Schizosaccharomyces pombe: one gene and its partners. The protein of the gene in region 2 purifies or fractionates together with the protein of the main gene of each other region. This does not show direct contact. Each region holds a gene or a part of one and is shown on either strand. Other genes may lie near its edges. The genes, in order: ssp1, rad25 and prz1.

Region 1 (11,370 bases), on a different chromosome or scaffold from region 2:
CAGGTGACCGAAGGATTCATTGGCATACTATAGGGCCATGAGATCTTACCTTCTTCCAATATTCAAAACTAAGAGTTTTATTGATTTCAGTGCAAATTTTGTAGTGACGAAATTTTTTTTTGCTGAAGTGATTGTTTAAGTATGAAACCTGTGTCTCTTGCCAAGTATATTCAAAAATCACCATTTTTGACGAAATTGCTTTTACCCATCTCCAATGCCTATGTGCATTTGTCAGGATACCGTAAATATGGTCTTCGATACGACGATTTGATGTTGGAGGAGAATGACGATACTCAAAAGGCGTTATCTCGTTTGCCTAAGATGGAATCCTACGATCGAGTCTATCGTATTCGCCGTGCCATGCAACTTAGCATTGAGAATAAAATTTTGCCAAAATCTGAATGGACAAAGCCTGAGGAGGATTACCATTACCTCAGACCTGTTTTAGCTGAGGTTATCGCGGAGAGGAAAGAGCGTGAGGCCTTCGACGCTCTCATTGTTAAGAAACCCGAGACTCAAGCCCATGCAACATCTTCTCCTGCTCATGCTCATTAAAAGTTTGCATGTCCTCCTTTAATCCACTTATTCCTCTCATGAAAACCGACAAGAAAATTAAAAGAGTAGTAAACGGATGTGAGAATTTTATTTTCTAAGTAACCCCCAACTCCAATTTCTAAAAAGGAAGACAATTTATGCACGTATCTTATTTCATCGGTTATATCAGTCGACAAAGTACGTGGAAACGAAAGTTTTTATATTGCTGTTTATCTGTACTTTGACTTTACTATGTGTGCGATTAATTTTCTACGCCGCTCTGTTTTTGCTTTGCTCTATTTTAACTACTGGTATATCTCCCATCTCTTTGACCTCTCCTCTCTATGCTTTCAGTTTTCATATTTTAATTGAACAACGATTTTTTCTTATTTTTTATTTTTTGTAGCTGCTTTTTCCTTGACTGTTATCTTTGAAAGAGAAACAATTTTTTTGTTTCTTAGTTTCGCTTTCTGAAGATGATTTTGCAATTATTCTCTCGCTGAATCAATTATAGCTAATGGTTGGTATAACATAAGTTAGTGAACAAAACATTGTAAGGCAAACCAACTAATGTAGTATTTTTTTTAAATCGTGATATCAAATTTTAAACTTGTTAAACAGACAAACTTATTTTGAGAAATTTTATGACAGTTTGGCATTGTATTTATTGATTTAATTAAGCTTACTCCTATTTGACTTTAGGCATACTCTTCCTTGTACGACTTCAAGCTCATGAGCTTTTCACTATCTGAAATGTTGTACCCAGAGTCATAATATATGAACCTCCGATCGACGTAAAGTATTATTGAATTTAATTTTATTTATTTCCGCGTTTGTTTAACTTGTTTGAGGAACTTGAAAAATTACAAGAAAATCATGTACAATTTTGTTCGAAATATTTATTGAATATGCAGGGGAAAATCAATTATAAAGACATTACTCAGAAAGAAATGTTCAATGAAATATTTAAAGAATATGTTAAGGAAGAGAAGCAGATCGATTTGGGTACTTGTGATCAAGATTCTGTACACGACCTCTGGCGACGCTTTGTAAAAAGATGGAATGATGGAAAAATGAAAAGTAAATGGTATTCGTTGGGAAAGAGAATATCTCAACCCTCTTATGCTCGTCTTGTAGGTCCAAGTCGACCAACTTTGGAAAATTTACAAGATCGACGAGAATTGCAGGAGCAATTAAACGAGTTGAGAAAGCTATCCCGAAAATCAGCTTTTAAATCGCAAGCTAAAAGGGAGACAGAATTGTTGGATGAAATTCTTCCAAAAGAACCAGCAGGAAGCAAAGAAGCTATGCAACAGAAAAAGAAGGAAAAACGAGCTGCTTTGAAGCATTATCGCGAAGCATCTGACAATGAAGAAGACTTGAAAGAAACCGACTTATACGGAGACCGGGACTCATTTCAGTCCCGATTGAAGCAAAAAAAACAACGGTCAGAATTCAGGGCTTCAAAACGAGAAATGGAAAGACTTGAGCGCGACCAAGAGCTTCGAAATAAAATTGAGGAAAGAAATAAAAAAGAGTTAGAAACAATTGAAAAGCTACGAGAGTTAGCCAAGGCTAGGTTGCAAGGTTTTTCTAGTTGATCATTTTAGCAATTACGCCGACATTTATAAAACCAAAGAAGTGTGCAACTATTCATTATGATTAGAGCTTTTTAACTATGAGTCAAACATAATGAGTATTTAATTTCTCTCAACTTAAGATGTATATGACTTTATATTAAAAATTCACAAATTTAATCAAAGTATAAAAAATGAAAAGCGTTTTAGAGTTGTTCGATTAAATATTTTAACTATAACCAAAAAGAAGTCTATTGAGCATTAATAATTCGTAAATAGTGCGTCTATAACCTAACCTAGTGTAAAGCATTGTCATTCTTCAACGAAGCTGGTATAGGTGCAACCTCAATTCTTTGGATTTCCAATGACTTGTCTCGTAGAAAAGGGGTGGCCTTTCCAAAAAGCCTTGGTTTACCATGATTGCGTTCACAAAGAAGTAACTGATCAAACAGTGCCACTCGGGGATCATTTAGATCAAGCTCGCATCGATCGCCAATGAATTCTGCAAATGCCTGTGAGCTACAAAGTGATGAAATCCAACTCCCGTGAACTTTGGAAGCTTGCCGAGTAAATTTATTGAAGTCGAATGATCCTATAAGACCACCACTTCCTTTAGAAATACCAAAATTTTCACGAGACATATGAGGTTTGCGTAAATAATTCCGATATGACCCTAAGATTTTTATAAAGAATTTTAAAAATGTCACTAATATCTGCTGACTATTAAAACATGCTGGAACACATGGCATTGATATATGTTTTATGAAATCCAGATTAACACGTAGCCCACAATTATCGCATTGAACATGGACGTCACCCAATGCATATCCTGAGACAGCGCAAATGGAGCCAGCGCTATCCGCGGGAAACATTTTATAGATGCGTCTCAGCTTATGCCCCTCTTTGTACATAATGTGAACTTTTTGTTCTCCTGGCTTAGAACTCACAAGGTTCACAGCAGATCCGGTGTTAATAGAACCAGCTTTATTTTGATTAGATTCAGAAGAACGAAGTTCAGGGACCGAATAAGGTGATGTGAGGGAATTTCTTCTTATCGTCGATTGGAAAGAAGAAGAAGAAAACCGAAACTTTGAAGAAGATGGAGAAGCAGGTCTCGTAAAAGGGGGAGAAGAAAAGTTGCGAGCATGCTCAGGCGCCTGTAAACGCGCATATAAAAGTTTTGAAGCTGATGACTGGCGCGAGTCAGTTTGCTTCGCAAAATAAATACTCGAAGGATTGTCTTGAAGCTTAAGGAAACCGTTTAAGATAGGAGAGAGTACATAAGGCCTTTTGGAAAAATTGGAGCTTCTAAAAGACAAAAGTGCTGGGATAGAAAACTTTTCTCTCAAAGGAAAACATGTAACTGTACTCAACGAAAGGACATTATTTGGATAAGTTTCCATTGTGTACTTTGGAGGGCTATGTGGTACATAAAATTTATCATGAAGTGGCGCCGCAAGCTTCAGATGGGCCTGTAACTTAGATCGCAATGAGCGAGAAAGACGAACAATTTTCCCAAACGTAGATACAGAATTTTTATCAAGGTCACAAACAACAAGCGGAATATTGTCCAGAGGAACGTCGTCCATATGAAAAAAGTACGATAGAGTGCCAATAATGTACGAACAAGGAGCTTCAAAACAAGATATCAAACGCCTGGGTAAAACAGGAATATAAAGCCCTTGCCACGTAAGAGGATAAAGCAAATGTAGTAAAGCTTGTGATGCATATCCCAGCATTCCTAAGTTTTCAGACAAAAATATAACTTTAGCTTCCATTAAAGCAGCCTCAAAAAGAACAAGAATATTAGGGATACTTAATGCACGAAATAACGGATATAAGTCAACATCATTCCAACCTGGGATTTCATTGACTGGACTCCTAAATGCGTAAAGATTTAATGGGCCGACATTAACTTGCAACTGCAGAAGTCCTTTCGGCGGCAAAGGAACATCACAGCAAATGTTTTTTACAAACGATTGAAGGTTTAGTGATTTAAGGGAATTTAAATCTGACGAAGGGATAAAATCGAGATCTTCAGCTTGAATAGAGGAGCATACTATTCGAAGCCAATCCCGACAAAAGGACTGCAAATGTGAATGCTTACTCAATAATCCATAAGCATTGGGTATCCATAAAGTCCTGTTATTTGTCAGTCCATGAACAAATCTAGGTAATTTATAGCGCATAGGACGAAGAAGTTCAGTATAAAGAATAATGTTTTCTTCACAGACATCAATCTTTTCCAAGAGTATAGGATCGATGGAATCACTCCCTTCAAGTTCCTTTTCTTGCATTTTTAATAATAATGAAGAAAGTTTTGATCGCTCCGTTTCTAAACTGGATAAAAGCTTCTCGGCAACCTCACGGTCTTCCACAGTCGTATTATTAGCTCTCCAAACTTCACATTCCTTTTCCAAGTCATTTTGCATAGATTGAGGCATTGCAACCCAAACTACCACGCAAATCCCATACAAGTGGCTGTTATTGTCACTGGTCAAAGCAAAAGAGTGGTAGGTTGATACAGGTCTAACATCCGATTCTTTTATAGTTATGTCGTTAGGAAAAGCAAACATCGGAACATAATTAGGGAAATCACAACGGTCAATAGTCGGTGTCTCATTTTTTATGTCCTTGGAAGAAGGGAATTGATGGAGGAGAGAAGGAGGATAGCGTCTCTCGAATGGATGGGTAGCAGCGAATAAGGGCAGGGCATCAGGATATGCAACATAAGACTGATACAAATCATTTTGGGTATGCGTAGTACCGATACTAACGCGGTTTTGTAAATGCTCTTTATCGATGACAGAAGGCTCGGAGTATGGCTTTCTGGAATGATACTTTCGAGGTGTTGAAGTATTAGAGGATAAGCTACGACGATGTAAGGACGTAACGGAGGCATGGTCAAATGAATCCTTTTTTTTCTTGGTCGGTGTGTTAGATGTTGAGTGATGATAATCTAAAAACGGCTTCTTTGGACCCACAGAATTGGATCCAGTGGTGTTGTGATGCGCAAAGGTATTTTCTTTATAAAAAGAAGACTCAGAAGTGATTGACACTCTTTTTAATGGCGACTTCCTTGTATTGTTTTGGATGATAGAACTAGAAACAGATATGGCGTCTTCATCAAGTCTATCTGCTCGAAATTGAGAATTGGATACACTCACAAATCCGTTAGAGAGACCTGCGAGAAAGAAATGATCTGCGATACTTTCCATTCCACTCGCAACTTAAAGCATCGTAAATGATCGCAATCGCATATGCAATAATTAAGGAAAAGATAACTTGTTTTGTAGCTTATATTATATTTTTGAAGAATAAACTTACTAAATATGCCACAAATCGATTCCACATAAATCGTGCGAAACTTTTTTCGTAAGGAATTGGGCACTTCAACGCTAACAGTATAACTATTCCTACGCACTTTCCAACCTGTTCAAATGCCAATTTAACTACAGATCGCCAATACCTCAAAAAGCATCCTCCATACACTAAATGGAAAACGGTAACTTGCGACTGTTTATGCAGCAAAATGTTCGATAGAAAAACATAGCGCACTATAACCTTTTATCTACTAAAGTGAATATAGCAACGTACCATGACCCGAAGTATCACCACAATAGGTTTAAGGAGTCTTATAGCTGCCTTATTTGGGAAAAATAAATTTTTTCCTATTAACTTACTAACTATTTTTGCCATTCGTATATGTGAAATAAGTTCCTTGTTTGGTTTATTTCTATTAGAAATTACTAATTTAATATATGAAAAAAGAAAGACATCAAACGTGAGCCCAAAGAAATCAACTCCCTGGCTCATCTATAAAGACACGAAACATCTAAAATTAAGTAATTCACAAAAGGTGTAAGAAGTGAAGCACACCGATCATTAAGACAGTTGTCAAATTGATTTTGTAATGCGGATTCCTGTTATTCGTAGTCCGCTTGAGGTAAGGTATTGTAGGATAGCTAGAAGATAGAAGAAAGTTAAAAGTCACTTTAAATTAACTTTTTTGTGTTTCGATTCATTTATATTTATTTGTGTGAATTTTGCTATGAGTTGAGTCAGACAGTAGAAAAAGCAAATGTCGAAGATTGTTGTTGTTGTATAATCGAAAGGGTAATGTTACGGATCAACGATTCACAGCATGATTCATAATCATTTATATAAAAGAAAACATTTCACATTCTTTTCTTTTCTTTAGTAAAATCAGTCGACAGACTGAACGATTGTGTCTAATTATAAGTTTACTAACGCTTTAGATTCGTGATACAGAACGAAAAGGCCGAGGAGTATTTGCTCTTGAGCCTATTCCAGCACAAACATGCATTGAGATTAGTCCTGTATTGATGTTCAGCAAAGAAGAATATGAACAACATGGACAGTATACAGTTCTTAACGAATACACATATGTTTGGAGCGAAGGCAAACAAGGATTAGCTCTAGGACTTGGAAGTATGTTCAATCACGACCGTCATCCAAACGTGTATTGGAAAAAAGACAATCGCAATAACTACATCTCATATTACACATTACGAGAGATAAAAACAAATGAGGAACTCTGTATTTCATACGGAGATCATCTGTGGTTCGAAGACGAAGCATCATCTGCTTCACGAATAAGTCCAAACGAGGAAAATGAAGATTTTCCCTTACAAAATATTAGTTTATAAAAATTCTTCATACGTCCAATTTGTAGGCTTTAGAAGATAAAATTTCTCAAATGGTAGCAATATTGCTGTCTGTCTTCTAAATCACACCATACAAAAGTTGCCCCACTTCACCTATATTCAATAGATTTGTATCACAACAGCACATAGAAGAAATTACAAACTAGGTCATAAAAAAATAATAAAATGATATTTATTTCCTATGCCAGGAATAAGAAGAATTCATCAAAAAAACCAGTTTCAACGTCTAATCAGTAAATTTTTTTTGCTCATAGGAAAAAAAATCACGATATACGAGGTAAACAAAAGGCACATTAGATAATAAAACATTTTAAAATAAACGAGTAAAACGAGTGGAATGCGCAAGAATCATCAATAAAGTCACCTTTTTTCCAAAAGACTTGGAACCTAAGCGTCTTATTTAGAAAAAGGAAAAAAAAAGGCTTCTCTTGAGATGGGGCAAACATATAGGACAAATAAAAATCTAAAAGGTCCGAATGACATGATTTGATGAAAACGAATGACAAAGTGTTATTGAACACTAGGTAAAAAGCCAAGAATAAGAAATGAGTAATTAAAAGACACATGCAACCTACATTGCAAAAAAAAAACAATTGAATAAAATTGGGAAATGTTCATACAGCACTCAATTAGTTGGTGTGAAGGAATGCTCAATGCAGTAGATAGGTGTGTCAGAGCCCCCGGCTAAATGAAGGTTAGGTGATGATACAAAACCAGGAACCACTGGATGAAAATTGGACGGATTAGCATCATAATTCTCATAATTACGAAAAGTAACGACAGGCATTCCACTTTCCTCATGCTTCGCATTTGGAGATTCGAAAGAGGCTACATCATCCGTATCCATCGACGTGCGACTATACGTTTCGAAATGACCGTTAATGGATTTGGAGACTTGTGGAATAGAGTCGCCGGTATTATAGCTGCAAGCATCATCAGCATCTTGATTGTCATTGGGAAATGCCTCATAGTCCCAGCCAAAGTCACATCTAGGCTTTTTCTCAGAACTATTACGACCCATTTCGACAGGATGTACTTGCTTTCTTTCACGATCCTTCTGAGACTCATTCACCGCAAGCCGATTAAAAGAATCGGACAACTCGGACGCGGATAAACCAATTGAAGAATTACCAGAGCTCTCAGGCCGACAAATGGAAGAGTCGGAAGGAACAGAGGAGGAAGAATCAAACACTCGCGCTTTTGGACGGCGGAAACGAAACAGCTTACCAAGTTTTCTGCGAAGACGACCCACAAGGCTGATTGCAGAAGCAACTTCGTCTGTAGAAACCTCAACACGACTGACGGTACTGGGATCAGTGTTTTGCAACCATTTTTCAGGATCCTTCAAGCCATCCAATGTCCATGGGTGAAGTTTTACTTCTACAAGTGTTATACGTTGTTCAGGATCTTTGCATAATAATCTTTTAAGCAAATCTCGACCCTCTTCACCAATGTCGGGTGTAGAAGGGATGTTCAGACGCTCATTGACGATTTTGTCAAAAAGCTCATACTCCATGCTAGCATTAAATGGACAACGACCAAACAAAAGGCAAAACAAAGTAACGCCTAAAGCCCATACGTCTATTGCTTCAGAAATCTTAGGCCTTGGGCGATCCAAATCGGTCCAGCACAATTCAGGGGCGAAAAAAGCAGGAGTGCCGACAGTTTTTGCAAGCTCAACGTCGTTGTCTTCATTCAGGCCAGCGTTGGCAATGTACGAAACACCAAAATCAGATATTTTGACACAATTAGAAGAGTTAAGGAGAAGGTTGGCGGGTTTAATATCTCGATGAATAATGCCTTGGTAATGTAAATACTCTAGACCCAAGACAACATCGCGAAAGTATTGTCTTGCCTCGCTAATCGAGAGTACGGGGGAGTCACAATCTGTCCATGGCACTTCCCCACCACTCATGTACTCTAAAACAAGATACACCTTCGTTGAGGATGGATCGTCAATGACCTCGCGCAAGCGGACGACATTAGGATGGACACATTTCTTTAAGATGGCAATTTCGCGACGAACTTTTTCCTTTTGACTGGAAGCATTGGCTCGGCCCAGTTTCGGACGACGTTCCGTCTTCGGGATGATCTTGATCGCCAACAGTTCGCGGGTAACGGTATCACGGCCAAGCTTGACTTTACCGTGCATACCACGTCCTAGTTCTTTTATAATCTCATAGTGGTTAATGTATTTACGACCCGAAAACCGATCAAACCGCTTTCTTATCTTTTTTGTTTCCTTCACCTCGCCCCATTCTTGCAGGCGCTTCCACTGGCGCTGAGCCTCTTGAAAATTATCAGAATAAAGACGCTGGTTATGCTTACCAGGTTGAAAAGTCCATGAGTGAGTTAACGAACTTCCTTCACGTTCTCCGCCCAACGGGGCTATTACATAATCTCCCGCGCTGTAGTTCCGTTTACGAAATGAATCGGACGTTTTCTGGATGGCCTTGTGGACGGGATATTCAGGAAAGACAGAAGGAGGAACTTCGCTATCGTCTACCTCTGGATGCCAAGTATTTTTCCGTAAAAGACGTTGTGGCTCAATTAAAGTTTTTTCTTCATTATTCACTGATCCCATCAGGAAGTGTTCCTCGAGTCCTCTTAAATAGCTTCAATAGTCAATAAGTACATGAATTACCGGATTTACTAATCGAGCTTTTCCTCTATCGGGGACTAGGCAACTCGTATTTCGGCGGGGCTATAGTCGTAAAGCTACCAAGCTAAATGACTCTGAAATTTATTTCTTCTTTAAGACTTGTAGATTTTTAGTAGTCCTCAATCTCCAAAATTGATTAATATCTTGTTTAAAATCAAGCCTACGTTATACTGGTGGTTGGAAAAGGTTAGGTACATCTATACCGTAGCACGACACCTGGTGAGGGATGACGATGAGCACTTTTGGAATGATCATTTTTGCGAAGTACCTTTCACTATTCCGTATTACACTACTATACGTAATCCTCCTTTTCCAGATAGTAGACGGGATGGTTGCTATTTCATCATAGGTGGGACTAACGAGAAGTACGCCTGAGAAGAAGGCTTCATAATAGAATACTATTTTCTTACAGAGGTTTTTTGGTACGTAAAATGTGTGGAACATCAGAAATATTCTATAACAAATTTCGATTATTCAAAATATTACTTTAAAACAACTACCACTTTTTCTCACAAGTATGGAAACGTTGATAGTAAAACCCATAAATCCAAAGATTTTTTTTTTTACATAATAATAATCCTTTACTTCATCTACAAGCATAGACGATGTGCCGATAAACGGCATTAGCAAAAAAAATTTTTTGCAACATGACCAAACTGCCGGTATAATATATCATAATTGCATACACAGTGTGTAAGTATGAATACTTAGATGAGAGAAAAATCAATGGCAAGATTAAAAGAGAATGGCAAAAGCTATATTTGGTCACCAATTTAGATTGTGTACCGCAGGTGTCTGTGTAATAAACATGAAAAAAATCTGCATACAAACAAACATCAATTGCTAGTTGAAGAGAAGGTCTTATACTCTTTGCAACACTTCTTTAGTTTTTCTTGTGTATTAAATTTTTTACTTTTTTTAAAAATATTCATTTATAATCTTACACACTATATTGACAAGTATCTGTTAAATATGCCTTAATTTGTGTTAAATTTACCCTCCAAAAAAAATGTACATATGTAATCTAAGAGACAAAAGGTATATCTAATCCTCTCTTTTTGGCGCATCAAAATAAGATAATCCAGTAGGCTAACTCAATTGAAGTGAGATTCTTGCCCCCAAACTAGCTTATTTTTAACTTTTTTTAATTTATTGAGCATTGGGGAGTAGGTTTCGAGAGGCAATACGACTTTGTTGAATCATGACAGCATCCATAACGACAAGAGCAGCCATGGCTTCAACGATGGGAATGGCACGGGGAACAACACAGGGATCATGACGACCCTTGGCAGCAAGAACACCGTCACTACCATCGTAACGGCTAGTTGACTGTTCTACGCCGATGGTAGCAGGAGACTTAAAGCCAATGGTGAAGTAAACGTTTTCGCCATTGGAAATACCACCTTGGACACCTCCACTGTTATTGGTCAAGGTACCAAGCTTGCCAGTATCAGCATTTCGGTAAAAAAGATCGTTATGCTTGGATCCAGCAACTTTGCAGCCTTCACGGCCTGAGCCAATTTCAAAAGACTTGGTGGCAGGAATACTCATCATGGCATGAGCAAGCTTGGCCTCAAGTTTGTCAAAACATGGTTCACCAAGACCGGTGGGAACATTACGGATCACACAGGTTACAGTACCACCGATGGAATCGTGGTTATCACGAGCTCGAGTAATACGTTCAGCCATCTTGGCGGCCGTCGCAGCATGAGGACAACGAACAGTGGTTTTATCGACTTCCTCTCTCGTAATTTTATTGAGGAATTTCAGATATTCAGCGGTTATAGGAGATTCAAATGTATCATCCTCTGGGTCCAATATGGCGGAAGAAGCGGTTTCGTGCAATGGAATGGCTATTTTGCCTACACTGGAAACAAAGGCAACGATTTCGACACCATAAGCTTCTAAG
Region 2 (9,500 bases):
GTTCTAATTCGTTCATTTTCCTTATCTTTTTTCAACAAACGTTAACGAGGTCATACTTAAAGAGCAAGTGTTTTCCCATTTCATCCACTTCTCACTAGTGTTTTTTTTTTATTTGTACATAGTGCTTTCCATAAATGCTTGTTTTACATTTATCCATCACACTTTCTTAAACCAAATAGGTCTCCATTATTATTTCAGTGTTTCATTTTGTTTCCTTTTTTTTTTTTTTTTTTTTTTTTTAATTTACAATTAATTTTTCTACCACTTTTTTTTCGAGTGGCATTGCATACTTTTCATACACTTTCTATATATTCCATTTTCCCCCTCAATTCGATTTTAAAATAATTCTTCCTGGTCTCTTCCTTCTAATCATGTCTCTTTTATAGCCTAGCTCTTAATCATCATGGATTCATTGTCTGCATATCCTCCTCAATCCACCTTTCAGCAACTTCAAAATGACGAGGAATTGGCCCGTCGTCTTCAAGATGAATGGAATTCTTCTTCCCCCTCTTCTGCCCCCTCCTCATCTTCTTCCCAAAACCAAGTTGAACTAGACGAACAATTTGCTAGGTCCCTTCAAAATTCACAATCCTCTTCCTATTCTCTTCCTCCCTTTGATCATCCTCCTTCCAAAAATCCTACTTCTTCTTCCCTTTCCACTCGCAAGCGATGGCGGCAAAAACGTCTTTGGTCTTTTAAAAACTTTCCCTTTCGTCCCCCTACGCGCTTAACTTCTACTCCCTCAAACTCATCATCTCTTCCTTCTATTCCATCTTCTTCGTCTACTCCATCAATTTCTTCTATTCCACATACCACTTCTTCCGTCTCTAACGACATCCCTTCCGTATTAGGCTCGAGTGACCACCCTATTGATCTTGATAATCCCGAACATTTGACTCCTCCTTCCTCCTTCATTACCGCTAAACAATTGAGTCGTCTTCCTACTCCTCTTCCACCTCCATCATCTTCATCCCTACCTACCGGGACTATTAGTACCAACTCTTTTTGCCCTTATGAGCGTAAGGTGCAACCAGAACATGTCACAAAAGAATTGCATCAATTACTTCAGCATAATACTCCCAGTCCGTTCGACACGATCGACCTGCAGTTGAAAAATGAGCAAGTACAATCCGCCGGTTTATTGGTTTCTCTTTTACCACATCAAGTCGAGGGCCATGCTTGGATGGAATCCATGGAGCAAAGCTCCAAGTGTGGTGGGGTTATGGCCGACGACATGGGCCTTGGAAAAACCATTCAAACAATTGCTTTACTTCTTACTCAAAAATCCCAAGACCCTCTTCGTAAGACAAACCTGATTGTGGTTTCTGTCGCCCTCTTACATCAGTGGGCTGAAGAATTGTCTACTAAAGTGCACCCCAGTAAAAAATTATCCGTTTACATCCATCATGGGTCCACTAAGAAAAACTTGGACTCTTACGAACTTTCTCAATATGATGTTGTCTTGACTACGTATTCAATGCTTGCTTATGAAATGAAGCAAAACGATGCGTTTAATAATAACAATCCCGCTACGGCAACTCCGCCGCCAGCCTGTTCATTGCTAGAGACTTCCTGGTATCGCATTGTTCTAGATGAGGCACATACCATTCGTAACCGCGACACTCTTGCCGCTAAATGCTGCGTCAAACTGGATGCCAAATATAGATGGTGCCTAAGCGGAACCCCCATACAAAACCATATTGATGAGTTTTACAGCCTCTTAAAGTTCCTCAGAATAAAACCATATTGCGTGTGGAGCCTTTTTGCTAAGGATATTTCCAGACCGCTAAAAAGTTATCGTGCAGATATCGTTGAAGCTGCTCTTAAACGTCTTCGCATCCTTTTGGCTTCTACGGTTTTTCGTAGAACTAAAGAGACGAGGGTTAATAATTTGCCTATTGTCAACCTTCCTCCAAAAACCATCCGTACCGTCTCCGTGAACCTTCTTCCTGAAGAACGCGCGCTCTACAATGAGCAAATGTCTAGTGCTCAATCGCTCGTTGATAACTATTTTAACAATGATCACGATCTTTCGCGCTACGGGTTCTTATTAGTATCTTTACTCCGTCTTCGCCAATTTTGTTGTCACCCATGGCTTGTTAAGAGTTCTAGCTTGGATAACAGCTTTAGAATTAGAGATTCCGAAAACGTCAGAAATGCTTGCAAGTCTTTGGATCCCTTGACCATAGAAAGAATTGCTACACTACAGGATTTCAACTGTAGTGTTTGTTTGGATCCTTGTTTGGCTCCCGTTTTTATTATCCCTTGCGGGCACTTTACATGTCAAGAGTGTATGAGCATGCTAGTCGGCCAGAAGTATGGATCATCAAGCACTTCTACGATCATAGCAAAGTGCCCAATGTGCAGAGGTAATATAGTTCAAGATTCATTAGTTGATGCAACTATCCTTCAAGCAATCCATGGTCCTTTAAACTCTTTAAAGCAATTAGAGTTAGATATGAATCAATCTTTTTCAGAACAAGAAAGCATTAAATTAAGGTGGGAAAATCGTATTGACCAGATGTTTACCAAAAAATTTGGCAAGCGGGCGAGCGAATGGAAAAGCTCCTCGAAATTGAATCAAGCAAGACAAACAATTTTGGATATAATTGGCTCCAAGAGAAACGAAAAAATTCTGGTCTATTCTCAGTTCTCCCAGTATTTATGCCTCGTATCGCACATGCTAAAATTAGAAAATATACGACATGTTCGTTATGATGGTACTATGTCTGCGAACCAGAGGCAAAAGTCCCTACATTCTTTTAATAACGATAAAGATGTTTTAGTCATGCTGGTTTCATTGAAAGCCGGCAGCGTGGGTTTGAATTTGACGATTGCAAATCACGTTATTCTACAGGAACCATTTTATAATCCGAGCATAGAGGATCAAGCAATAGATCGTGTTCATCGGCTTGGACAGCAGAAGCCTGTCACCGTGTATAGGTTTATTACTAAAGATACGATTGAAGAGCGTATCGTCAGTGTTCAACGTAAGAAGCGTCAATTGGTTAAAGAAGCTTTGGATTCAAACGAAAACAATCCTCTGTCGAGACTTGACAAAGAAGAGTTGCTATATCTATTTGGGCTTAATTCATGATTATTTAATGTTAACGTTACTCAAATGAACTATACTCTACTGCATACTAAACTAAACGTTAAAAAAAGGGGTGGTGTAGTGTAACGCATGTACAATGTATAATAATAGTATGCTTTGATGGTTTTAAGGCCACAAAGCCAAACTAACTACTCATGAAACGTAATCAAAGTTATAAATTTATAAATGATAGAAATAAAGTGCAAGAAGAATATAATGAAGATAACTTTGTTATATGGCTACGAATATTAGATAAATCATAGGTATCAGTTCATATATGCAAAAGTAATCAGACCATTAGGATCCGTTTACTGATAAAATGCTAACGCTTTAGTTTCAAGCTTTAACAGTGTCAGTCGTAGACTCTTTGGGCTCGGGATGTTCGTTTTCAGAAGCAGCAGCGGCAGCAGGAGCCTCCTCCTTAGCAGACTGGTTGTATTCGGCGTCAGAAGTCCATAAAGTCAAGTTATCGCGAAGAAGCTGCATGATTAAAGTAGAGTCTTTGTAAGATTCTTCAGAAAGACTATCGAGCTCTGAAATGGCCTCATCAAATACTTGTTTAGCCAAATGGCATGCACTTTCTGGAGAGTCAAGGATTTCATAATAGAAGACGGAAAAGTTGAGAGCCAAACCCAAGCGCATAGGGTCCGTGGGAGGCAACTCAGCAACAGCAATGTCAGAAGCTGCCTTGTAAGCTTCTAAAGAGCTGTCGGCGGCCTCTTTGCAAACTTCGCCAACAGTAAATTCGGCCAAATAACGATAGTAATCACCCTTCATTTTATAGTAAAATACCTTGGATTCACCGGTTGTAGCGGCAGGAATCAAATGCTTTTCAAGGACGGAAAGGACGTCATGACAAATATCGGATAACTCATCTTCAATCTTCTTACGGTACTCTTTAATCAATGCGGCTTGTCGAGTGTTGCCCCTACTTTCCTCCTTTTGCTCTATAGAGGAAATAATACGCCATGATGCTCTGCGAGCACCAATGATGTTTTTATAGGCAACAGAAAGCAAGTTACGTTCTTCAACAGAAAGTTTATCGTTTGAGCATGCAACTTTCTTCATATTTTCGACCATTTCTATACATTATCAGTTAGCAAAGAAGCAAAAACAAAAAGGAGAGATGAAAGAAGCAAAGCCAAGTATAGACGGGTCAACAAACAGTAATTCAAAACGAGTTATCATTGCATGGTGAAGATATGAAGGTAATAATATCCTTAATTGCGTTGAGGTTTACCTACAGAACGGTGTTTCGTGTTACTCCTGATGTTAGTGAATTTCTTTGTCTTGGTGGTTACAAAGAAACCTCAAATCATAAGAGGAGATAAGAATGATAAGACAATCAAGGCAGTTCAATCGTGGTTTTAAGAGAAAAAAGGAAGCAAGGTAGGAAATAGAACAAAGGCGACAAAAAATAATGATTACGAAAACCATAAAATCAAGAGAATTGCAAGCCGTTCTTGTCCATAACCTCAGATATCATAAACATGTCCAACAACAAAACAATGTTGTAAGAACTCATTTTAAACCTCATCAAGCGATTTTGGGGACATTTTAAAATACACAAGTCATCCACGTACTAACCCATAACCCCTCTTTTTCTCAGCCGCATCAAACAAACAACCTTGCAACATTCAACAACGCAACCTGTTCAAGACCAACAATATTAAAAAACCAAAGAACTCCCACATACAGTAGCAAACTGCAATATAATAACTTTTCATCAAGGTCCCTTCATTGACAATTTCGTACTATTACGCTATATCTACTTCCAACAGCGGATCCTTATCACATACCTTCGTAGCGTTCAGCCTGTTCGGCCAACTTGGCGAGATACACCGAGTTTTCACGAGAATTACTCATATTTGCAAGGAATTATTAAAAGCGGTGGTTAGTTGAGGTTGGTAGAAGTGAGAAAGGAAAGTTGGGAAGGTTGGTTGGTCAGCCGAATATATGACGGACTATACTGAGATTTATGGATATCTAACAGAAACATCACTACACCTCTCTTATTCTTTTACAATATCGTAAAAATACTTCTTACACGTATGATTAGGCTTCCAAAAACAAATGCCAAACAAATGCCCAGTGTCAATAGGAATTCGGTAGAAAACGCGTTTTTACTCACTGAATGAGGAATTGCTGTCTTAAAGTATGTTACAATAAGTTTTTCTTTCGAAAACAAGATACCAAGTATCAAACATAAGCGTGAAAGATTACAGTTAAAACAATGAGTGCAATAATTGAGGAAGCTTGACAGAAACAAGAGGCTTACTTTAGGGGCAAAGAAGTTTTAGAAGGTTTTTTATCACTCTATGCAGGAAGCTTCAAGAAGAAGGCGTTTTTCTTTAGTTTTCGATGGCATATGCGATATGCTTGAATATCCGTAGGAGGCGGCGAAATTCCATTATATTACATTGACTACAAAGGAGTACAGTGAGCTGAAAAGTGTGTGTTATTATGTAAGCTGCTTTTCGGCGTTGTCATCACAGATTGGTGATTACCGCAAACGGTAATTTTACGAACAAAAAAGATCAAATTACATTGTGCTGATTAATTGCTCCTTCAACTTGTGTATTTTAAACTTAATACTTCTTGGCTTAAATGTAAAGTTTTTTAATTCTCGTTGTTCTAAAATTGCATACTGCGTTTATCATAAACCTTTCAAGTTTCCCTGAAATTGTTTCTGTTATCCTGAAACAATACGATATTCTTATATGAAAAAGGTATGAGTTGATTTAAACAAGATAATACGACTTTATAATTTCAGGGTTATTGTTCGCTCATTTCACTTACACGTTTGATGGGGTTTCTACTGCAATGCTGCAGTCCCGTTGTGGGCAACTTGATTGCGCGGTAATACGAAAAGTAGGATTTTAAATTGTTACAAGGGACAATCTGGTTGGGATAAGATTTTTTATAAGTCGCGGTACTTATTTTGTCTAGTAAACAAAACCGTCCTCTTATGTGCAACTTCAGCAGAATTTACTAACCAATTCTATTCATCCTTACAAGAAAATAATTAATTTGCACCAATTTGAACCTGGTTCAATATGTGTAGGCCGGAAATGAATTTAATTATGCTGCATTGGATTCTTACAAATACACTTCAAAAATATTGATGAAATTAAACAAAACTATGCTTAAAGATACTGTATTTTGTCTGGTATATGATTTGGGGGTCTTTAAAAAATTGCCTTCCATATCAATGATAAGCGTCTTAGCTGCCACACCTCAACAACACATCTCTAAAAATTGGCATTTCCTCTGTTGTTTGAGTTTTGTGAAATTATTCTTTAAATATTTTTAATAAATTCAAACCTCTCAATCAAATGTGGGCAGAAATCCTCTCTTTCTCACCAATAGAGTAATTATATAAATAATCCACAAACCGTTAGTTTGTTAAACCAAACGCTATTCGATCTCTTTGGCATTATAACTATTTTGATAAACCAAGAATAATACATTCATTGCTATACAACCTGTCAATTCTTAGCATCCATAATCCTGTTTGAATTATGCCATCCAATACATCCCGGTCAGTGCCTACGGGCTTTTATTACAAACAAAATGCTAGGATGCAGAACAGGCCTAGATTTTCTGATCGTAAACACTCGAGTAAATCTAAACATCGATTTCCAGTGGACCCTAGTTTGCAACCAGACGAAGCGGATGAGGGAACAAGATTATTGGGAAACAGTGATAGTGATCTATTAGAACCACCGTCTGAGCATTCAAGTAATGGGGAAGATGACAAGGATATTAATAACCCTCCTTCAATGCCTAGTTCTGTTTGTTCTTCCCCGAAAAGTCCACACCGTCACTATGAAAGCGATGAAGACATCGAAAATATATCACTGCCGGAAAGCCATCCAGAGGACATTCAAAGGAAAGAATTTGAGACGGAAAATGGGAAGAATACAAGAGATCAACCTAGTCCACTTGCTGAGGTCAGTGACTTTGCTATTTCATCCCCCCATGTCTACCCTAAATCAGCTAATTCTCATGATAGTCACTATGAACAGTTTGCAAACAACGACGTGACTGAGAGTGCTGTTGATGATCATCCGGCTACTCGAAAGTTATCTCGGGATGAGTTGTATTTACCCATATCTCCAAACAATGCTCAAGAACCAAAGTTTTCTGTCCTTGATGAATGGACCAAAAAGATGGTTGCCAATTTTGAAGAATATTCGGTAGAAGATGTTGATAAGCGTCGTGAAAGAAATAGGAAGTTGAGTGAACCGTTACTTGTAAATGGCCGTTATCGTGTTCGTGATCGTTGGGCTCAATTTCGTAAGTCAGAAATTGAAAAACCATATCGATTTACATTCTTTACCGATGAGCTTCCTTCTACTATCCATTCACATGAAATGTGGGAACTCGTTCACGATGGCCAAAGCTTTGAGGACCTTTTCCATTCTGGAGGAACTTGGTGGCTAGATGTCTCTTGTCCAAAGGAAGAAGAAATTCGAGTTCTGGCAAAGGCTTTTGGAATCCATCCTTTAACCGTTGAAGATATTACTCTCGAAGAGGATCGTGAAAAAGTCGAGCTTTTTAGAACGTATTACTTTGTTACCTTCCGTTCATTCAACCAATTACCCTCAAACTCTGAGTACCTAAAGCCGTTGAATTTTTATCTAGTCGTCTTTCGTGACGGTATAATTACTTTTCATATGAACCCGACACCGCATCCAGCTAATGTTCGTCGAAGGATTCGTCAACTGAATGGTTATCTGACAGTGAATGCAGATTGGATCGCATATGCATTGCTGGACGATACTACAGATGCTTTCGCTCCATTCATTGAGCAAATTGAAGATGAAGTCGACACAATTGATTCCATGATTTTGAGTATCCATTATGATCACGTAATGGAAGTGAAGCCTCAAGAGAGAATGTTGCAGCGCGTTGGTGAATGCCGCAAGCTGATCATGAGTTTGCTACGTTTGCTTGCCAATAAGGCAGATGTTGTTAGAGGTCTTTCCAAACGATGCAACGAGTCATGGCAAGTAGCTCCTAGAGGTGAAATTGCTTTATATCTTGGTGATGTGCAGGATCACATAGTCACTATGGTTCAAAATTTGAACCATTACGAAAAAATTTTATCTCGAAGTCATTCAAATTATTTGGCTCAGATTTCTATTAATATGACACTTGTTTCGAATGAAACAAATGAAGTCTTATCACGTTTGACTATCTTGGGTACAATTCTAATTCCGTTGAACTTGGTTACCGGTTTATGGGGTATGAATGTTAAAGTTCCAGGACAAGACGTACCAGGACTTGGTTGGTTCTTTAGTATTCTTGGTAGTCTGATGATTTTTGCGATTTCATCTTTCATTCTTTGTAAATGGTACAAAGTTATTTAGCTCTTACTGTATGCTTGTATTTTTGCCTGAGAGTTTTCCCCCCAGGGTTACCTTGTAGCTCATTTATTTCTTTTAACATGTTTTCAAACATGGCAATCCGAATTTCTGCACAACAGCCGAGGAACCAAGTCGATCTCATGGAGTAAAATTAACTGTATTTTCTCGTTTCTGTCCTTTATTGCTTGAGTCGTGACTTTATCTCAGTTTTAAAATTAATGTATTAGACCGTTTTCCATTATCAGAAGATTACTCATTGTGGAATATGCTTTTTGTTTAAACAACTCACCATTACTTGCAAAAATATTTATTAAAAAACGACTAATAGATAGATAATTATGATTATTAATCAAATATACAACGAAAAGAGTTAAAAAACGATATTAAAGATGAAGCTTGAATGGGGAGAAGGGGATTCGTCGTATCAGTAATTTTTTTTTTTTAATAAAAAATAAACACACTCGACGTCTTGGTATTTAACACTGCTTCAAACTATTTTCTCGAAATAAGTAATGCATATTGCAAAGCAATAAATAGGAGAAGAAATGTCTCATCTAAACATTTTGTAGAAATTATAATACGGTTGTAAAAACAGACATTAGTGAAAACGAATAACAAACGTACTAGAAATTTGACACGTAGCGGAAACCATGCATGCGAATATAGATAGCTCACATTTATAAGAGGTCTTAAAGCTCCTCAGAGGAGAAAGATTTTTTGGGATCCTTGGGTGCCAAAAATGAATCTGGGTAAATAACAGCAGACATATTGGTGATATCGTTTATAGAAGGACCATATTCCGAAGGGCCATACTCCGAGGGAGCGTATTCCATAGACGAAACGTGCTTTTCGGTGAAAGGCAATTTGCTTCTCTCGAGAGCAGGATATAGAGAGGGAATCAAAAGGGCCGAAGTAAAAATCATCGGGATGAAATCAAATATATCGAACCATACCTCATGAGTAATGACCGCACCTTCCCAACCTTGTGCCAACTCAATAACACGATAGACGGAACGAACTACCATTGCAAATGT
Region 3 (10,829 bases), 2.8 Mb from region 2:
CATAAGGCGCTCTAAAACGTGTCAATATTTTTAAGCAATAAACTAATTTTTTTTCATTCTTATTTGAAATTTCCAGAAATGAATATTACTTTTAACCAATTGTTCATACCTTCTCCTTAAATAATCTTGGAGGACTGTAAAACAGCTTACCATTAAATCGACGAACTTCGTTGAAATCTTGAATAGTTGATCTCTTCATTTCATTCAGCAGCTCCTTCTGTCTTTGCTCAGGAGAAGATGTACTCGCGGGTTTGGTAAGTTTTTCCCATAATGTTGGCTTTTGGACTTCAGAAAGCATCGTCGGTTTTACCAGTAAACCTACTGGAATGAGAGCAGATGGGGCTTTTTCTTTTGTATCATTGAGACTTTTGGTGCTAAAAGAACGCAACTTGAACTGATGCTTAACAATCAACCTCGGAATGACTAAATTTTTTAAATAATTATATGCCATGTTTACCAATTATAGGTAGATTAAAGGGGAAATAATCTTTAATTTATTATGCGATTTAAGAAACGCAAGGATGAACTTAATTATTATTATAAACTTCAATAGATAGGTATAGCAGAAAGGAGCTGTTGTTACAGGTGGAAGTACTCTGACGTTAAAAATTCATATCTTAATTTTCATTTTGGTTTTTTAATTTGTTTTTGGACATTAGTATATATCTACGATAAAGGTTTTCTCCTTTTAATTTCATTGTAATATAATTCAAGACTAAAATTGGCTTTTCATTGGATTGCGAATCTTTCATTGAATACTATCTTTTCAACTTACATTGAACGTGCATGTAAGGATAGGAAATGGAATGCTGAGATAATGAACAATACAAACCTTTCTAATTAATTCAATGTTTAAAGCAAACTCATTTAGCGAAAAATTCTAGCTTATTAAAACAGCTGTCAACCAGGGCGTAGAGATTACAATATAAAGACCTTACTTACCCTTCTTAATGTACTACAATACAAAATCATAGTTAAAAGAGTAGCTTTTTACGTCCCTGCCGACTGTTTATGTAGATGCATGAAAAACTATGAGAATATAATTTAGTAATCGTTTATATAAGCTAATACGCATTAATATTATATTAATTCATAATGCTTAAAAATCAAAGCAATTTCAATTTCCAAGTGGGTTAGAAAGTACTAATGGGGGGTCCATATTCTCTTTAAGACATTACTCACTTGAATAGCAATTATGACTTCGTCTACTACCTCAAGTACTATGTGGGGGGGTTGACCACTTATGAAAGTGAACCTACTAAAGTAGTTAGTGATACAAAAAAATAACTAAGTGCGCAATAATTCTCCGTCAACAAATAAATCGTTGAACTAGTATTAGTATATTGGCGTATGTAAGCTAATATAGTCGTTGTTTGCGTAAAACGAATTCAAATGGCTCCCAATCTGTGTTAATACGTTATGTTATGTATGATATAAGCACATTGAACATATCGGGATGAGTCAGTACTATTTTATTATTAACAAAATTGGTTAGAATTGAATATGACAAGTTGAAGACTCAATCAGCTAAGTTTTGTCATAGATCGGATCGGAACAGGCGATTAACAGTGTTGTGCTGAAGAAAATAGACAACAATATGATCAATAGAATCAACATATAACAATTAATCATCATTCATCGAACGAATGCAAGCTTCGCGATTAAATAACCGCGAAAGATTTAGTGAACTAAATATTCTCTCAGCTTTTCATAAATAAATTAAAATTAAAACCCAAATATATTAGAAAAAAAATTAAACAAATGCCAATGAATTTAACAATTAGATCAGTTTACTTAATAAAAGTTAAGTATTGAACTTTCTGACCCTTAAAACAATAAAGAAGGATTAACAATAAGGATACGAAACATTTCAAGAAAACGGTAACTTCTAATCGCAATTGCTGCAGTATTAAAATGTAGCATGACGAGCGAATCTCAATCTTAAGAGTACACAACGAGGCAAAATGATTTTTTTATGTTGCTATCCCACACTTCTCAATACCGTTGGTAACTCATTAGTAATAGTGTTATTCTCACAAATCTCCTTAGCGGTGAAAATTCCAATTCCATGATTCATAATCAATTCTGCTAGGGGTAACTCATCAGTGTCATCTAAATCAACGTGATAAGGGATGTAATGCAGCATAGTCAAATTTTGAAGATAACTGCTTGTTTGTAGCATAGCAACAGGACACACTAATAAAGTGGATGCTTGAAACTCGGTTGTGTTTTCTTCAGGCAAATTGACGACTTTAACCTCTTCATAGTAAGTCTCCCAAAATTTTGATATCATTTGTTTTGTGGAGTAGTTATAAAGATGAGAGGTATTAATTTGGCTAAATTTTGGACGAGCAAGCATCCAAGTCGGAGCACTATAAATCTTCCAAAAATAAATAGTCGTGGGCATTTCCGGATTAAAATACAAATTACAATTTTCCATGGTTGTTACATTTCTCTGTTCGATAATATTTTTTACTTCCAAAACCGCAGGGATAACACCATTTTGATGCATTATGCCGAAGAAAACTGCCAAAACAACTGCATACATTACAAATAAAAATTTGATCCAATATGAACGAACTAGACATCCAGAGTTCACTATAAAAATAGAGGCTGCGGGTAGCAAAAACCTGGGCTCTTGGTGAGGAAACAGGGATAGTATGAAAACGGGGAGAAGCCATAACCAAGTTGCAGGTTTTCGAACGTCCCAAAGCTTTGGAACAAAAATCAGAGGACCACAAAGGAGTGGCATATTAGTGAAAAAATGTGTTAATCTTGAGTGCAATCCGTGCTGTGACAAATTTTCGATTTGAGAATTGTATTTTAAATTATTCCAAAATGTTATCACAAACACCCCATAAAACTTGTAGTCCTCGAGGATGCATGCTAAGACAGTTGCAAAAGAAACTGAAACAAAAATACATAAGTGCAAAAAGATGCTAATCCAGTTAGTGTTTATTCCATAATATATTTTTAATTCAATTTAAAAATCAAAATCACTTACTCTTTCGGATTGTTCACGTTCTTTTTAAAACATCGAACAGAAAAATAGATATAGGGGGCGATCACAAAAGCTAAAAAAGTGATTCTTGTGAAAAATCCTAATACACTAACAATTGCAAGCAAAAATGTATATAAATAACTAATTTTCTTGTTTAATGGCTGATTCTTGTTAGTTAAGAGTTGCCAGCTATTAACTTACCACACTATTCAACTTCGAAAGAAATAGTATAGTTAAAAAAAAGAAAATCGTTTCAATTGAGTTTGTAAAAGTATGTGTTTGAAATGTAGTAGCCATGAAGGATGAGGAATATAAAAGCAATGCACTCCATCTTGCGTTCAAAGGTACGATGTTCCAAATACTCAAATCTGCCAAAATTAGTCAAGGAAGGAGGAAATAAGGTTTGTAGTAAATTCTGAAATAAATTCCAAATTTATCAGAGCTTAATATTCGCCAATGTACATACCTATTAACAAAGAGATCAAACACATATAGAGTCTAGTGAACAACAAAATAGGATACGGAGAGCAGTTCGCTTTTGGATATGTAAGAATTTCGTTCAATTTAAAATACACTTACATTTGCAAATACACCGGCAAAGCAAGAAAATAGGTAAAAGCATCACATTCAAAGGAACTACAGACCGAATTGGTTTTTTAGTAGTAAATTCCCATGGAAGTTCCACTTTCCAGCCAAATAATTTATCTTTATATTAGTCATAAATTGTTGAAGAATTGTAATATACTTGCGAATATTTGAAACGATTGTAAATGCTCATCCGGATGTATGTATGAGCTGCCTTGCGAAAACCAAAAGCGTAAAATTAGGAGAAAAGTATAAATTATAGCATATTTACGGTTTTTAAACATCCTTAATCTCAATGGATAAAGCACGGGATTTATTGCTTCAGTGTGCAATGGATTACACGATGAAGATATAACGAGATATTCCGAACTATATATGTTTGTTATGAAAAAGGTTTGCTAAGCGAAAATGTAAACAACTCTTGGTCGACGGGTATATGTTTAAGAATACACGAAGCATACAAAAAGTATACGTTAAACTAATGTTTCAGTAAAATAATTGTACTAGAAGAATTGCAGGTCTTATTACATTTTAAATTAATCTAACTCAATACCCAAAACATAATTAATTTTAAACAAATCTAATATTAAAAGCCGTATTTTGGATCAACGATGGGGTAAAATCAATCACTAAGTATAAACAATGTCAACTCTCTTTAAAAAGGGCAAAAAGTTAATAAACTATAAACGAAGCCAAACGTAACATCAAAGATAAAAAATAATACAAAACCCTAAATGCAAAACTGTGCAAATACTTGCATCACATTGCAAAAGGAAATATAGTTAGACACCCATTAATCACAGGTGCAAGCAAAATGTCTTGCTTTGGAAATTAAAACATCATTTTTGTTTGCTTGTCGAGGCCACTGCTGTCTTTCTGGATGGCGGAACTTGAATTCCTCGTTCTGTGGCCGTGCGAAGACAATTTTGTCCAACTTCACTTTTATAATGTCGGTTAAGTGCATCCATGCGAGCAAACCTCTGATTGCAAGTGACACATGCAAAGGCTTTAATGCCAGTGTGTAACTGCTCATGTCTCCGTTTATCATGCTGTCTAGCAAATGATTTCTTACAAATCGAACATTGAAAGGGACGGTAATTTGTATGTGTATTCATATGACTTTTCAAATTATAAGCCCTAGTAAAACGCTTATTGCAACCAGCAAATGTACAAACGTAATTTCCTTGAGACTTAGACTCTGACTTTGCTTTAGACGAAGACGAATTTTCCGATTTGTTTCCTACTAGCGAATTCAATGATCGACTTCGAGGACGAGTATTTCTAACTGACAAATAATCGTTCGACTTAGAATTATCATTCTCTATTTTTCCCAGCAGTTCGGTATCTTGGTTAACAGATAGACATTCAGAAGAATGTGAAAAGTGAGTATATAATTGAGGTATGGGCTCATAAGCATCAAATCGTGAGCCAGCACTATTTGATCGATGACGAGCCGTATATGTGGGTGACATTTCAGGAGCACAAAGATTAGCGTTTTGTAAGTCATAAGAATTTTCATTCATAGCAGGTTGACCAGATACTGGAGATGCAGACTGGCTATAAGTGATACTAATGTCTGTTTGAAGAAGAGGATTTGCTGGCAAACTAGGTCCAGATTGGGATTTGGAAGGAGATGAAGGTACTACATTAATTTGTGGGGTACCCGAAAAGTTGTTTGAATCATAATTCAAAACGGAATTGCTTAAAGCGGTAGGAGAAATAGGGTCAAAAACGTGTGTTGTTAAAGAGGCATCTGCATGGTCCTCAGAAAAAGGAGAATTTACAGAACGAATAGTAGATTCTCTAGCATTTTCGCTGTTTAAAGTCCTTCCGGAGTTTGGAACAAGATATGGGGATGACTGGTGAGAAAATTCAGCGGAAGGACTGTTCTCAAATATGAAAGAAGGTGTGGAATGGTTAGACAATAAATCAACGGAAGGATTCAAATTGGTATTATCCGTATCAAAATCTATACCAGTGTTGCTTTCACCAGGAGACGCGTTCGTAAAGGCCCCCAGGCTCCCGGAAGAAGGTGGTTGAAGGTAGTCAGCAAAAGAACCGGTTCCGGTAATATTTTGTTGATTCTCCATCAATAAAGATGGATCTTCAAAATCAACAGAAGGAAATCTCTCTGAATCAACTTCAGTTCCAGATGCCTGTGACATTACATCAACAAAATTAAAAGCATCGGCTTCATACAGAGCACCAACAGAACCTTGTAAATATGGAGAACTCGGATTTGAAACAGATCCTGAGGGAAGGAAGGATGTTAATAGCTGAGGCGATGAAGATGGAGAAATTTCAGAAGCCGCAATTGCACGTGAAACTGGTAAGAACTGAGAAGAATCGATATTTGAAGACGGAATACCAATATTAAACTCATAAATGGATTGTCGTCTTGAGCCAACATTGTTAACAGTAAAGTCGTTGGCGTTATGAGTAGAACTCGAACCTTGAGTCAAGTCAAATGCTTGCGGACTATTTGATGGATTACTTAAAGGGCTAACGGAGTTTTCAAATACCGCTTGACTACCGAAGCCACTGACTGAAGTATCGTTCAGTTCTGTAAATGAAAAAGTAGGTACATTCCCGGTTCGAGGATAAGAATCATATTCATCGGATTTTGAAGACGTTTTAAAAGGCTCGGAGGTGTTGGGATGGAGGTGCTGAATATTATTTTTAGAAGGATTGGAAATTAAAGAAGAAGAAACTTCAGACGCAAGAGTATCCTCAAAAAGGGGGATATCAGCAAGCGAAGTGTCATTCATGTACGTATGCAACTCGCTAGAGCCTCCAAGATCCGGCTTTGAAAGGTTATCGTATAAAGAAGAAGGATTCAAGTCTTTGAATCTACGATTCGCTTCTTCTGACCTTTGACGCTCCATCGATGAAATTCATCAAATAATTAACTTTTGGAACGGTACGCTCTCAAAAATATTGTCTGAAGACTCACCAACTCTCTTTAATTGAATGGTTAGACAAATTATTTTTCAAAAAGCCTATAACGTGAATTTTTTGACCGAATAGTAGAGTAAAGCTGGTTTGTAGTAATAAATTGGATAAACCAGCAACACCAAGGGTGTGAAATTTATTAGTGGAATGAATAATTAATTACCAAAAGTATCGTTTAATAAACGAAAAAATTAAGACTTGAGGTCGTCAAAGTTAATCCAGTGCTTCACAGGATTTGATCAGATAACGACAGAATTTCTTGATACAAAATTTTGTATTTTGGAATAATGCGCAGGATAAAAGTCTGAGAAGATTGATGGTTAGTACAATATAATTGTTAGCTAAGCAACGTCAAAAAGGGCATTAAGCAATACAAATGAGAGGAGAGAGTGCGACAAATGAGATTTTCACAGATCGAAATGAGGAAGTAACCTAAAGGACAGCACAAGAGAAAACCCTTTAACGATTAGGAAAAATTGCAAAATTAGGTAGACAAGTATACAAGCGCAAATCGCTAACTCGACATGAAAAAAAACAGAATAGCCTCAATATACTACAGCGTCAGCTAAACGCTTTGATTTTCACAGAAAAAAAAATGATAGTTTAATAAATGGCCAGCAGATTATATATTTACAACGGATGAATTGCTAAATCATCAAGATATTTCTGCGATGTAGTGGTAAAGGATTGCACAAGACGTGATCGGGTAACGAATTTTAAGTAACACGCAGTTTAAACTTGAAGTTAGTATGAAGCAGCAGGATGCTAAAGAACAGTTTGCTAAACAAATTAAAAACAAAATATAATAAATTTCCATATACAAAGGATCCCAGTTAAGGAGTTCCAGAAATGAAAAAAAATTGGTTTTTGAAGGATATTCATCCAATTTTCTATTGAAAATTTACTGGACTTACTAAAGGGTGGCGACTTGTGTATAGTAAAGTGATGAGACATGTATTTTATACAAAGCACAAATAGCTAAATAACATGAATGTATGAAAATTTGTTTTATTTATTGAGCGACATCAAATATATATTCTAGTTTAAGGGGTAGGAAGCAAAGCCACATACTTTAAAGTGCCGGTTATTAGTTGAAGGCGTGCCCAAATGTAATACCACTTACAACATGGAGAACTTCCGTAGGCTTGTCAAGAAGCATTAAACCCCAAAGCTTGAAATTCATGAAATTAGCTTTTCAACACCATCCGAAACTCATTAGTGGGGAAGCAGAATAAGGTGTAGTACTACTTATAAATTGTGGAATAATTCTAAGTTGAAAACATAAAGTACTATAAATTATATGTAAGAGACTTCAAACCACCATGCAATTCTGACTATTGATTATTTTTGAAGAATCTTCTCTCACGATACGACGGACGGCGGCTTTGACGAGTTCCAGGCTCTTTGGTGCAGAGGCTTAGTTGAATGTTGTGAACGAAGCGGTTCATATCGGATACTTCAACCGATGTTCTGTCAACTAATATATATCATATTTGCAAATATCAAGAGCATTTCTTGTATTAGATTACCTAGATGCAGAAAATCCCAATTGTAATGCAACGAAATTGCGTATTGTAATAAATGGTATAATAATCTTATTAAGTATTTGTACTTCGTAGCAAAAGATGACTATATTGTGTTGTAAGAGCAACCTATACACCTCGTTTCGTAAGTTCTTTGATGGCGGAAGCTTCATGAGAAGCTAAAAATTCATAGTATTCTTTCAACCTCTGAAAGACTGATTCTCCGTTCCATAAGTCAATCCCTTCACTATTTTTCGTGTGTGCCGGCAAACCGTGTTGTTGAATGACAAACGAAGCGGCTACAGTAGCTTTAGCACAAGCTTCTATAATATTACCCGTCCTATAATACTCCAAGATTGCAGCTCCACAAAAAGCATTACCAGCCCCAGTGGTATCTAAAACGCTTCCGTTTTTCATTTGTACACTTGGCAAATGAAGAATTTCTCGCACAGGGACAACTGCATCGCTTGTAGCGTTGGTACTACTCGTGCATGCACCAATTAAACAACCATCGGACCCATTTCGAAGAACAACCCATCCTTGAGAATCGTGCCCAATTTGGAATTCTTGAAACGCAGATACAAACTCTTTGGCTCGAGATTTGCTTTCGCTAATATCTATACCCAGAAGGTTGGCAGAGTCCACCTCGTTTGGAGAAAATATATCACAATACTTTAAGGCTTTTTGTAAAATATGCCAGTTTTCCGGTAAACAGGATTCAGGCGTTGGCTCCCATACGATTTTAGGACGATTTTTTAGATTTCCATACTTTGCCAGTTCCTCACACACAGAGACAAATGTTTTAGGATTTGTAATAATATGAATTGTTTTTGCATATATCAATCCTGTTTCCAAAAGATCAGGAGCACGAATTGGCTTTTTAGGTGTAAGGTATTCAAACAATCGAAAACCATTGTCCCTGAGACGGTTGTAACCATATGTAGTTTTTCTCCAAGGCGTTTCTCTGTATACAATTCCAGTATGTAAATCGTTTAATTCATCGAGGATCACCTGCGGGAAATCAGAGCCTTTGTCAACAATCATTCCCAGTTGTTGACTTTCGGGTTCAGACGTCCAGAGTCTAGCACCAATCAATGCTGAAAATAATGTGTTAATTATTATTTTAATAATAAAAATATTGGACGCAATGCATCTTTTTTCTAAGGGAGAGGATTTCAACCTTCGATAAACAGATATGCTTCACCAATGAAGTTCGCAAATCGCTCCGCTTAAAATTTTAAAAAGAATTAGACACTTACCAAAAGATCCTGCACCTCCAATAATATCTTTAATCTTCTTTCCGCCGTCGAATTCAATTTCATCTATAATAAACATGCCTTGCATTCGTTAGCACTTATATGTGAAAGTTTTTACCAGTTGTGACGAATTCCACATCTTTCGAAGGATAATCCATTTTGTTAATCCCAAAAAATTACTGTAAGTTGTTTTTTTCTTAATTATAAGAACATATATTGCTTTAATGTTGGTGCATTAAAAGTCAGAGTTAGCGAACATCTGCAGATAATCTACGTAATTATCAATAAACATCCTGCACTCTGTATAGTAATTTAAAGGTAACATGGCGAATAATTAAATAAAATATTTCATATTTATGAAGGAAGTGTTGAATCATGCTGAAAATTAAGTATCCGTAAAAAATGTACTTTTGCATTTGCTTACTTTTGTATGAGATGAATGGGCATACTACTACATACCATATATCAAGCACACATGTCATACTTAGAACATTGTATTTTCCTAACGATATATAGGAAGTACTCATCATTCTCAAAAAGGAATTATCACTTTCCAATATAAAATTAACTAATCTAAGTGTTAGCAATGCAACAGTCCTGACCAGTCAATTAGCAAGCAATATAGCTAAGTCTACTCTTTTATAAAATTTCAAATGTTACTTCCCAAAGCTTTGCTCTTTAGTGCGGAATGGTAAGATTGGGAAAAAGAAATTGAAGTCGTCTAATTGCATCTGGGTTACGATGCTTGTGATTTGTTTGAATCCCATTTTGAACACTTTCTCGCAAGTTCCTTCCCAAAAATCCTTGCAAAAGTGGAGCTTCTAACTTTTTGACGGCTTCCAGTAAAAAGATTTTTGCATTATCTTTATTGTTACTGATATGTTCCATCACGGTTTCAACAGTAACAGGCTCCTCATTCATGCGCCAGCAATCATAATCCTATTTTTTGTTAAAATTCCTTCCTAATAATAAGTTCAAAGTACTTGTCTAAAAAGCATGGCTTTGATTTGAGAGGTACATTGAATGTTAAAAACTTACTGTAGCCATGCAAACCATTTGGTAGGCAATCTCAGCTTCGCGAGCTAGTTTGGCTTCGGGAATGACTGACATGTTGATAATACTGGCTCCCCAGCTTCTGTATAAATTGCTTTCTGCACGCGTACTAAATGCAGGACCCTCCATACACACGACAGTAAGATCATCTCCTTTGCGTTTGGTATGTAATTTAGAACCATTTTTTAAGTTGGAGCCGCATGAACTTAAAATTTCATACAAGTCTTGATCAAATGGATCACCAAACGAAACATGAGCTACACAACCAGATTCAAAAAAAGTGTTTGGACGAGCACAAAGGGTGCGATCAATAATCTGTGTAGGCAGAACAAAATCCTCCGGTGGAATATCCTCCCTCAAAGATCCAACAGCGCTGAACGAAACAATTGCCAAAACACCTAAACTTTTTAAAGCTGCGATATTTGCTCGAGATGGAACTTCTGTAGGTGTATAAATGTG

The links.
Region 1: the proteins of rad25 (region 2) and ssp1 purify together in Schizosaccharomyces pombe (affinity purification with western blotting; 2 studies listed by BioGRID, with this or other methods). This does not show direct contact.
Region 3: the proteins of rad25 (region 2) and prz1 purify together in Schizosaccharomyces pombe (affinity purification with western blotting, with the first as the bait; one study listed by BioGRID). This does not show direct contact.

The regions. Positions count from the first base shown.
Region 1 is NC_003421.2:1,876,727-1,888,096, reverse strand, and holds ssp1 (calcium/calmodulin-dependent (CaMKK) protein kinase Ssp1), read right to left. Parts: upstream 9,651-11,370; 5' UTR 9,384-9,650; coding exon 7,425-9,383; 3' UTR 6,782-7,424; coding exon of another isoform or gene 6,371-6,781; 3' UTR 6,058-6,370; coding exon of another isoform or gene 6,025-6,057; 3' UTR 5,787-6,024; downstream 1-5,786. Other genes in the region: qcr7 (ubiquinol-cytochrome-c reductase complex subunit 6), read left to right, coding at 142-555; SPOM_SPCC297.06C (uncharacterized protein), read left to right, coding at 1,443-2,135; SPOM_SPCC297.05 (diacylglycerol-binding protein), read right to left, coding at 2,408-5,329; histone lysine methyltransferase Set7, read left to right, coding at 6,025-6,057, 6,371-6,781; aro2 (chorismate synthase), read right to left, coding at 10,611-11,370. UniProt on the Schizosaccharomyces pombe protein: Involved in actin localization and thus in polarized cell growth.
Region 2 is NC_003424.3:3,579,820-3,589,319, forward strand, and holds rad25 (14-3-3 protein Rad25), read right to left. Parts: upstream 5,023-9,500; 5' UTR 4,961-5,022; coding exon 4,894-4,960; intron 4,177-4,893; coding exon 3,431-4,176; 3' UTR 3,309-3,430; downstream 1-3,308. Other genes in the region: rrp1 (ATP-dependent DNA helicase), read left to right, coding at 404-3,097; vacuolar CorA family magnesium ion transmembrane transporter Mnr2, read left to right, coding at 6,616-8,469; tco1 (RTA1-like protein), read right to left, coding at 9,156-9,500. UniProt on the Schizosaccharomyces pombe protein: Acts in cell cycle and stress checkpoint signaling by sequestering signal transducers regulated by the checkpoints. Required for the DNA damage checkpoint that ensures that DNA damage is repaired before mitosis is attempted.
Region 3 is NC_003424.3:782,694-793,522, forward strand, and holds prz1 (calcineurin-responsive transcription factor Prz1), read right to left. Parts: upstream 7,220-10,829; 5' UTR 6,472-7,219; coding exon 4,426-6,471; 3' UTR 4,085-4,425; downstream 1-4,084. Other genes in the region: atp10 (F1-F0 ATPase assembly protein), read right to left, coding at 1-11, 110-451; smp3 (alpha-1,2-mannosyltransferase), read right to left, coding at 1,982-2,939, 3,005-3,162, 3,203-3,369, 3,468-3,536, 3,581-3,706, 3,747-3,870; SPOM_SPAC16C9.01C (carbohydrate kinase), read right to left, coding at 8,191-9,158, 9,321-9,398, 9,436-9,475; mta1 (S-methyl-5-thioadenosine phosphorylase), read right to left, coding at 9,996-10,256, 10,356-10,829. UniProt on the Schizosaccharomyces pombe protein: Involved in the regulation of calcium ion homeostasis. Binds to the calcineurin-dependent response element. Transcriptionally regulates pmc1.